Ovis aries: one gene and its partner. Each later gene encodes a partner of the first gene's protein in a complex. Links are inferred from orthologs where the notes say so. Each region holds a gene or a part of one and is shown on either strand. Other genes may lie near its edges. The genes, in order: GATB and GATC.

Region 1 (4,329 bases):
CTCCTTCCCCAGGTACCTGCCTGACTCCGACCTGGCTTCTCAGCTAGCTCGGACACCTCCTCCCCCAAAGACCTTTCCTTAACGAACCACACCCCTTCCCTGATTTCTCACAACAGTCCTCATACTGAATTAGGTATCCCTCCTCGGGGATCCAAAACTAAACTGTGCTTATGACCTTCACAGGAATAATCACACAGTACTCACACAGGACACATCTCCCCAACTCGCCTTTGAACTTCTCAAAGACAAAGACAGTTGCTCGTCCTTCTATTTCAGTTCATAGCACAGACATTCTAGTATTCAGCAGACATTCTAAACTGTGAGTGAGATGTCTGTGAGTGAGATGTATGTATGAACAAACGGATGACATTTACACTTAGAATTCAGAGATGAGTCTTTAGAAAACATTGAGGCCATCCCACTCCAGTCAAAGTTTCCTAAACAAGTATTTCCTAAGAGTTATGTTCAGTGAAGGATGAACATTTTGCAAATGAAAACAGCATTAAATAAAAACCTTACCGGCAAAGTTCCAGGTAGAGATGCATCAAAAAAAGATACCAAAGAATTGGGAGGAGCTGCAAAGTGGACTTGAGATCCAGAAAAGAGTTTGGAGTTGGAGGCAATCTGGGCATGAATTTCCAATCCTACTACAGCTGCCCATTCACGTTCACTAAAGAGAACATAATGGCCAAGAAGTCATTAGGTTAGATCTATTACCATGAGTGAATTTCTATGAGCTTAAACTGCAAATGTTACTAATACTTCCCACTTGCGCTTTTAACTTATTAAAATTGTATATTCTACTTTAAAAAATGTGTTACATTGTATTGGGTAACTAAATTAAAAGAAATGCAAAATGAACACCAAGAAGACTGGTAAAGCAATATTCATTTATAACATGGCATAAGAAGAGTTCCCTGTGCAAACAAGGTAACAGGAACAATATGGGATCTGAAAACAATTTAGAAATGGTTATCAGGTGGAGACTGCTTGGCTGACTTTAATGAGAAGCACCATTTTCTAAATTAACTGTCCTTTGCCAGTTAATCACTCAGGAAAGCTGATTTTGTGAACATTTTTAGAACTAACAGAAATAAGATTTCACTACTAGAGAAATAATGGTAAATAAATAGTTGTACATCTCATTATTTAAAAAGGAAGGGAAATTCTCAGTCATGTTTTGAATTCATTTTCTAACAACGGTTTGCAAGTAAAGTAACCATAGTGATACAGATAAAATGGATTACTACTAAATGATAATCTTTGGAATTCTGCACAAAGGAAAACATTAAATCATCACAAGTGGCTCCCCCGCCCCAGCCCCCCGGTTCCCCAAATGACTTTAAATTCCAGACACTTAGTGTCAGGTTCCTTTGCATGTTTTAAACTTAATTGCTACCACACCCAAGAAGCTGCAATAGTGCAGTTCACATGCTACAATAATCTCTTGTCTGGTCACTCCTACTCTGCTGGGTCTGTATGAACATTCCATACACAGGTCTCCCTAGGTTCATCTAAGTGTGCTTATTCTATGGGTTATTATCAAACCCATGTATCCTGGGCAATCTGCAGATGGCCTGGTGTACACATACGCTCTCCATATTCTGTCTGTTCCTATCCTGCTCTTCCCTCAAGCAATTTTCTGTATTATCAAAATTTTTATTTACATGCATTTGGTTTTGTTTCGATCATTTCAACACATGAAGTTCTGTATTTATAGTACTGAAGAATTCCTTATTTTTAAAGTTTGCAATCACAAACTATAATTGAGAGGAATCAAACTAAGACGTCATCAGAAATCTGCATTCACTAAAACCCAATTCAATGTTTTTTTGCAGTTTCATTACATAAGAGAAAAAAACTTTTCATTCACTTTTCATAGTGAAACAACCTAATTTAATGAAAAGAACAGAACCAGTACTTCTGGACATTTTCCCCTCTGTAAAAACAGAAAAGCAAAAATAACAGCAACCTAACTATCTCAAAGGAAAAAATGAATATTTGACACATGCCTTATATTTCTGCACTTGAAAAGATATCATTTAGGTCTTATACAGTGAAATATAAGCAGCTGTTCAGACAATATTGAGCAAAATAAGCAACAGTCTCTACAGAACCAGAAGGAAGATCTCATACTGGCTGCATCTTCCTAGGTCTACACACACACCCCACACGTTCAACATGAAAGGCCTCCACAGATAGGTGGGTTTTCTAACTCAAGGCCAGCCATCCAGAACTTGTAGGTAAAGGCTCCTTTATACCACTAAAACACTGCTGGCCCGTAGTGTGCTAAATACATGTCAGCTAAATAAGATCCCACTTCTACTGATACTGGGCTGACTACTAGTTAAGGTGACTGAACCACTCTTCTGTGAAACATTAAAAAAAAAAAAAAAAAACTTGCTATTTTACACTCTCAAATTACCCAAATAAGGCTATCTGAAGACACTGGTTTATGTGTGGGGTAGGGACTGATAAGACAGCCAGTTTCCTGTCTTTATTTAGATTTCAGGGCTGCAACATACAGCCCAACACGTTCCCGCCCACCAAAACGTCCAGACTTAAGGCTGGGCTTTAAAGTGAAGTCGCTCAGTGGTGTCCGACTCTTTGCGACCCCATTAACTGCAGACCACCGAGCTCCTCTAGCCATGGGATTCTCCAGGCAAGAATACTGGAGTGGGTTGCGATTTCCTTCTCCAGGGAATCTTCCCGATCCAGGGATCAAACCCGAGTCTCCCGCATTGTAGGCAGAGGCTTTACCGTCTGAGCCACCAGGGAAGTCTGTAGTGGCCATCTCCCAAGTCCCACAGTTCTACCTCAACTTTAAGTGGGCAATACTGGTATGAAATAGTATACCCTTTTCTCGGCTTCTGGGCTGTGATGTGGGGCTGCTGAGCCACTGTGCTCTGCCCCCTTTTCCCGTTGGACGTGGACCCAGTCGGAGGCCCTCTTCTGTGGCAAGAACCGCAGCCAACCCGGGCGAAAGCAAACCGCCTTCCAGGACAGCACCACCGCAACATGGGCGCCGCCATTGTCTCTCCAGAGTCCTGGTCAGGTGACACAGCCTCCCTCTGCTGCAAGGCTCTCTGGGAAACGTAGTTCTCAGAAATTAGATAAACCGCGCTAGACTCGGACCGGAAGACTACTATTACCAGAGAGCACTGCGACCGGAAGGCTTCCGGAACTGGGCGGGGAGGGGGCGGGAAGCAGAAGGAGCCGGGAGAGTGGGAGGGTTTTTGGGTGGGAAGGTGTGACTCCTCCTAGCGGGGAGTTGGAGAGGTTTGTAGCTGTAAGCACGTGAGAGAGAGAGCAGGCGGTGCCAGAGATCGAAAGCTGAGAAACCTGGCTGGGATTTTATATACCAGTTAACCTGTCGGGCTGAAGTAAATGACCTTGACATCTCCATAAAGACTCTCTGAACCGCCCAACTCAGTTCTTTTTTCTGCTTCCTTTTCCACTTCAGACCCAAATGTAAGCATAACTGCAAGAAATAATTATTTGCATGCCAATATGCTCGGCATGGTTCTTAGACACGGGGGATTCAGCAGTGATCAAGGCAGATATAGCCACCATGTTCACGAAACTTACATTCTTGGTAGACTAGACATACAGAGAAGTTAACAAAAATAGGATGCTTTCAGATAGACCATAAGGACCATATTTCAGCACAGGTTCTTGGGAGATAGACAGACCTAGACTGAAACCTCAGGAAGATTTTAAATTTTTCTTTTTGATCTTGGCCAGTGTTTGAAAATACTATGTAACAACGGAAGCCTTGATAGCAAATACCATCATCCCAGTGGGCTTCTTTTTTTTTTTTCCCCCTGCTTCAAAATGCATCCCCTTCTTGAAACGCCCACTGATTTCTTGTATTTGAGCATACAGTTTAGAACAGCTATTCCACCATTCTCTATTAGATCGCCCTATACTAATACTCCACATAGTGCTCGTGACTATCTGATGTTTGTCTTCCATCTCCACAAGCTCCTTGAGAATGGGAAATCGGTCTGCCTTATTCAATACAGTATTACCAAAGTACAAAGTAGGTCTCTCAGAAATGCTTGTTGATTGAAGGATTGCTGTGTGAAGAATGCATTTGACAAAAGAATGGAGTACATGCCCTTCAGAGTAGCTGTGTGGGAAGGAGATGATGGAATAGTGTGGTGGTGGAGGCAGAGAGAAATTGACCTCTGTGAGATAGATTAGGAAGGTAAGATTGGAGGACTTGGTATTGGATTAGATATAATGGCGGAAGCCTAGGGGAGGGTCAAGTAACTTCTGAATTTCTGGCTTTATACAACTGGATGGCTGATGGAGTTACTCACTGAG
Region 2 (4,382 bases), about 57 Mb from region 1:
CCATCAGGAAAAGGCTAGGACAGGGTTGTAGATTGCCCTTATCTTTGTAAGTTGCATACCTATCCTTCCCAAGAAGCTGCACTCCTAAATGGCAAACAAGTCTGCTTTGCAAAAAAGAGTGTTTTCTTTAAAAATGTATTAAGATTTGGCAATAACTGGTAGAGGTGGTTAGGGGCTGCACACTCTAAGTACAGTATACACAAGCTGCTTTGTCAAAGACCCAGCCCTCCGGGTTGCATTACACTACTTCACTACTTGGATTATTACTCTGCCCCCTTAGGCAGTCAAAGGTAAATTTCCCTTTGCATTTCCACCTTCTCTAACACTAACCATGGTTAACAGTTTCTTGCATGCCCTTTCAGGGAACAAAACAACTTAATGCATGCACCAGAGTATATAAAATGGATTACACACAAAGCATCAATGAAACCACACACCATATTCTGAACTTTGCCTTTTTTATTATTAATAAGTATACCCTGGAAACCTTTCCATATCAGCATATATAGTTATTTCATTATTTTTAACTGTCATTTCAGTGTATGAAGATTAATTTAGCCATGAAGGACGCTTCAGTTCAGTTCACTCACTCAGTCATGTCCGACTCTGCGACCCCATGAAGTGCAGCACGCCAGGCCTCCCTGTCCATCACCAACTCCTGGAGTTCACTCAAACTCACATCCATCGAGTCAGTGATGCCATCCAGCCATCTCATCCTCTGTCGTCCCCTTCTCCTCCTGCCCCCAATCCCTCCCAGTTTCTTTTCTGTTGTTCTGTATTATCAACAGATTTGCATACCCTGAATGCTCGTGCACACATCTTGATGCACTGTCACAGATATATGTCACAGACAGGGAACCCCTAGGTCAGAAAAAGTGTATATCTAAAAAATTTTTGAGACAGGAATCCAGGAGTAAGCAAGTCAGATGTGAGCTCACTTTCTAATTACAAGAAATAGTACAAGTCAACAAAAATAAGATAATCAAGAAAAACAGTGGAAGAAAACCCGACAGGATAAGGAGATAGTGACTAGAGGGAGTGGAGGGAGAATTTAGAGTGGTTCAGTTCAGTCACTCAGTCGTGTTCGACTCTTTGTGACCCCATGAACTGCAGCTCACCAGGCCTCCCTGTCCATCACCAACTCCCGGAGTTCACTCACTCACGTCCATCAAGTCAGTGATGCCATCCAGCCATCTCATCCTCTGTTGTCGCCTTCTCCTCCTGCCCCCAATCCCTCCCAGCATCAGAGTCTTTTCCAATGTGTCAACTCTTCGCATGAGGTGGCCAAAGTACTGGAGTTTCAGCTTTAGGATCATTCCTTCCAAAGAAATCCCAGGGCTGATCTCCTTCAGAATGGACTGGCTGGATCTCCTTGCAGTCCAAGGGACTCTCGAGAGTCTTCTCCAACACCACAGTTCAAAAGCATCAATTCTTCGGCGCTCAGCTTTCTTCACAGTCCAACTCTCACATCCATACATGACCACTGGAAAAACCATAGCCTTGACGAGATGGACCTTTGTTGGCAAAGTAATGTCTCTGCTCAGAAAAACATCTATTTCTGCTTTATTGACTATGCCAAAGCCTTTGACTGTGTGGATCACAATAAACTGTGGAAAATTCTGAAAGAGATGGGAATACAGACCACCTGACCTGCCTCTCGAGAAACCTATATGCAGGTCAGGAAGCAACAGTTAGAACTGGACATGGAACAACAGACTGGTTCCAAACAGGAAAAGGAGTACATCAAGGCTCTATATTGTCACCTTGCTTATTTAACTTCTATGCAGAGTACATCATGAGAAACGCTGGGCTGGAAGAAGCACAAGCTGGAATCAAGATTGCCAGAAGAAATACCAATAACCTCAGATATGCAGATGACACCACCCTTATGGCAGAAAGTGAAGAGGAACTAAAAGCCTCTTGATAAAAGTGAAAGAGGAGAGTGAAAAAGTTGGCTTAAAGCTCAACATAAGATCATGACATCTGGTCCCATCCAGTTCATGGGAAATAGATGGGGAAACAGTGGAAACAATGTCAGACTTCATTTTTGGGGGCTCCAAAATCACTGCAGATGGTGACTGCAGCCATAAAATTAAAAGACGCTTACTCCTTGGAAGAAAAGTTATGGCCAACCTAGACAGCAAATTCAAAGCAGAGACATTACTTTGCCAACAAAGGAGAGGCCAAAGAGATGAACTGTCCAACAAAAAGAAAAGCAAGGGCAAAGACCTAGAGAAGCCACGAATCTGGCGTGTAGCAGAAATAGGCAGGAAGTCAAGTCGTCTGAGTGATGAGGTAGGGGGCGCTCTAGAAAGTTGGGCTTAGAAGGTGAAAGCTTAGACGTTTGGATTTTGTTCCTTGTTACACAGGGAGGGCTAGAGGATTTTAAAGGGGAGGGAGAGGATCCTTAACGAACGACGCAAAGAGCGAAAGCGTTTACTCGCAGGGTGACCGTGCGCAAGTTCTCGCGTGTCGCTAATGTTCTTTTCCCCTCGGTGGAATGAGAGACTAAGCTCCAGCCCTTACTGATAGCGAAGACGCCGCGGGCCATCCTTTGAGGGCCGCGCGGCCGCGAGCTTACCTGTCCTCCAGGACTGATTCCATGGGCTCCACTCCGTCGGTGTTCACCGCGCGGAGCCGATCGGCGAAGGCGATGGCTTTCTCCAGCCGGGCCACGGCCTCCTGGCTGCCGAAGTCCACCAGCGATAGCCGCTCCAGGTGTTGGATCAGCTCGCCCGTGACCCGGCCACTTCCCTGGGGGCGGGGTGGGGGGGCGAATGAGGCGGAGGGTGTGGGTTACGGGTGGGGCCTGCTCCGCCTTCCGCCCCGCTCCAACACCCGCCTGGACTCCCCGACCTCTACCTGAGGATCCGCCTTGGAGGTGAAGCCCCGGCGCCCGCGCGCCGCAGCCCGAAGACATAGGTGCACGGCCCGCGCCCACATTTCGCTCCCTGTCGGCCGCCGTAGCGCATCCTCTCCTAAGCGCGCGACGCGCTTAAAAGTGATGACATCCGAGAGCGCCGCCACCGCCGCGGACGCCGACGCCATGAACAGCGTAGGGGAGGCTTGCACAGACATGAAGCGCGAGTACGACCAGTGCTTCAATCGCTGGTTTGCCGAGAAGTTCCTCAAGGGGGATGGCTCCGGGGACCCATGCACCGACCTCTTCAAGCGCTACCAGCAGTGTGTTCAGGTGAGCTCCTACCCGGGCCCTCTCGCCTCTGCCCTAGGCCCCGGCTCGAGGGGGTTGGGACGGGCAGGGTGGAAGAAAAGCCTCGATGAGACCAGTGGCAGTTCTCTCCCTTACCATTCACCACCCGGGATGCGTGGTATCTTTCCGAATGTCAAAGGTAAGTCTTTTTGCAGCACCTTACTTTCTGCGGAGCCCAATTACATTCTTTGGTTCCTTTGGTGATGAACCTGAACTTGCAAAGTGAGCCCAGTTATTTGTATTTTATACGTGGAACACTCACGCCCAGAAATAGTTAAACGAGTAGTCGAAGTTCACTAGAATCAAGTGTCCTTGGATTTTGCTGTGGTGCACTTTTCCACTGACAGACGGGGTGTTAAGTCTCTGGCCTGTTAGACCTCATGGAGGGTCCTCTTATGTTGTCACAATGCCTTCACTGGCCTATGTTTTCTCTCTTGGCCAGTTAGAACATGTTTATTCCAGCACAGTGAATGTGAAACAGATCTGATTGTAAGAACAGCCCTGGGCAAGGCAGTCCCAATTAGTTAACTTAAAAAACATCCTCAGTAAGTCCAGGTGGACTTGTCTTTGTCCCGTAGACATTGGAAAGAGAGACTTGCTCAAAGTTACGTAGCCAGTAAGTCCTGGGACCGATTTGAACTTGTGTCTGTCACAATAGGAGTTTCCCAGGTGGCTCAGTGGTAAAGAATTCACCTGCAATGCAGGAGATGCTGGTTTGATTCCTGGGTTTGGAAGATCCCCTGGAGAAGGAAATGGCAACCCACTCCAGTACTCTTGCCTGGGAAATCATGTGGACAGAGGAGCCTGGCAGGGGTCACACAGGGTCACGAAAGTCAGACACTATTTAGTGACTAAACAAGTATCACAACAGAGTGGTGATACTGCTTAAATTGCACTTCTGAATTTTGTTACAACTCTCCAACTTCTCTCTCTGGTCTTACACTTAATTTCTTCATAATCATACTTCGGGTTTGTCATGTTTGGTAGTCCTTATGGTACAGTTGGATTTACTTTTGTACCTAAAGTACAAAATATTCTACAAAGTATTTCTAAAGTTTTGACTTCAGGCTTCATGTAGTCCCTTTATCATGTTTTCTTCCATCAGAAAGCGATAAAGGAGAAGGAGATTCCTATTGAAGGACTGGAGTTCATGGGCCATGGCAAAGAAAAG

The links.
Region 2: GATB (region 1) and GATC share a complex: the UniProt entries of both Homo sapiens proteins name them as parts of the heterotrimeric GatCAB amidotransferase (AdT) complex. The link is inferred for Ovis aries from reciprocal best matches to the Homo sapiens genes GATB and GATC.

What each region holds. Positions count from the first base shown.
Region 1 is NC_056070.1:6,170,277-6,174,605, reverse strand, and holds the start of GATB (glutamyl-tRNA(Gln) amidotransferase subunit B, mitochondrial), read right to left. Parts: upstream 3,050-4,329; 5' UTR 3,033-3,049; coding exon 2,857-3,032; intron 671-2,856; coding exon 520-670; intron 1-519. UniProt on the Homo sapiens protein: Allows the formation of correctly charged Gln-tRNA(Gln) through the transamidation of misacylated Glu-tRNA(Gln) in the mitochondria. The reaction takes place in the presence of glutamine and ATP through an activated gamma-phospho-Glu-tRNA(Gln).
Region 2 is NC_056070.1:62,883,077-62,887,458, reverse strand, and holds the start of GATC (glutamyl-tRNA(Gln) amidotransferase subunit C, mitochondrial), read right to left. Parts: upstream 2,981-4,382; 5' UTR 2,944-2,980; coding exon 2,863-2,943; intron 2,755-2,862; coding exon 2,582-2,754; intron 1-2,581. Other genes in the region: TRIAP1 (TP53-regulated inhibitor of apoptosis 1), read left to right, coding at 3,047-3,193, 4,317-4,382. UniProt on the Homo sapiens protein: Allows the formation of correctly charged Gln-tRNA(Gln) through the transamidation of misacylated Glu-tRNA(Gln) in the mitochondria. The reaction takes place in the presence of glutamine and ATP through an activated gamma-phospho-Glu-tRNA(Gln).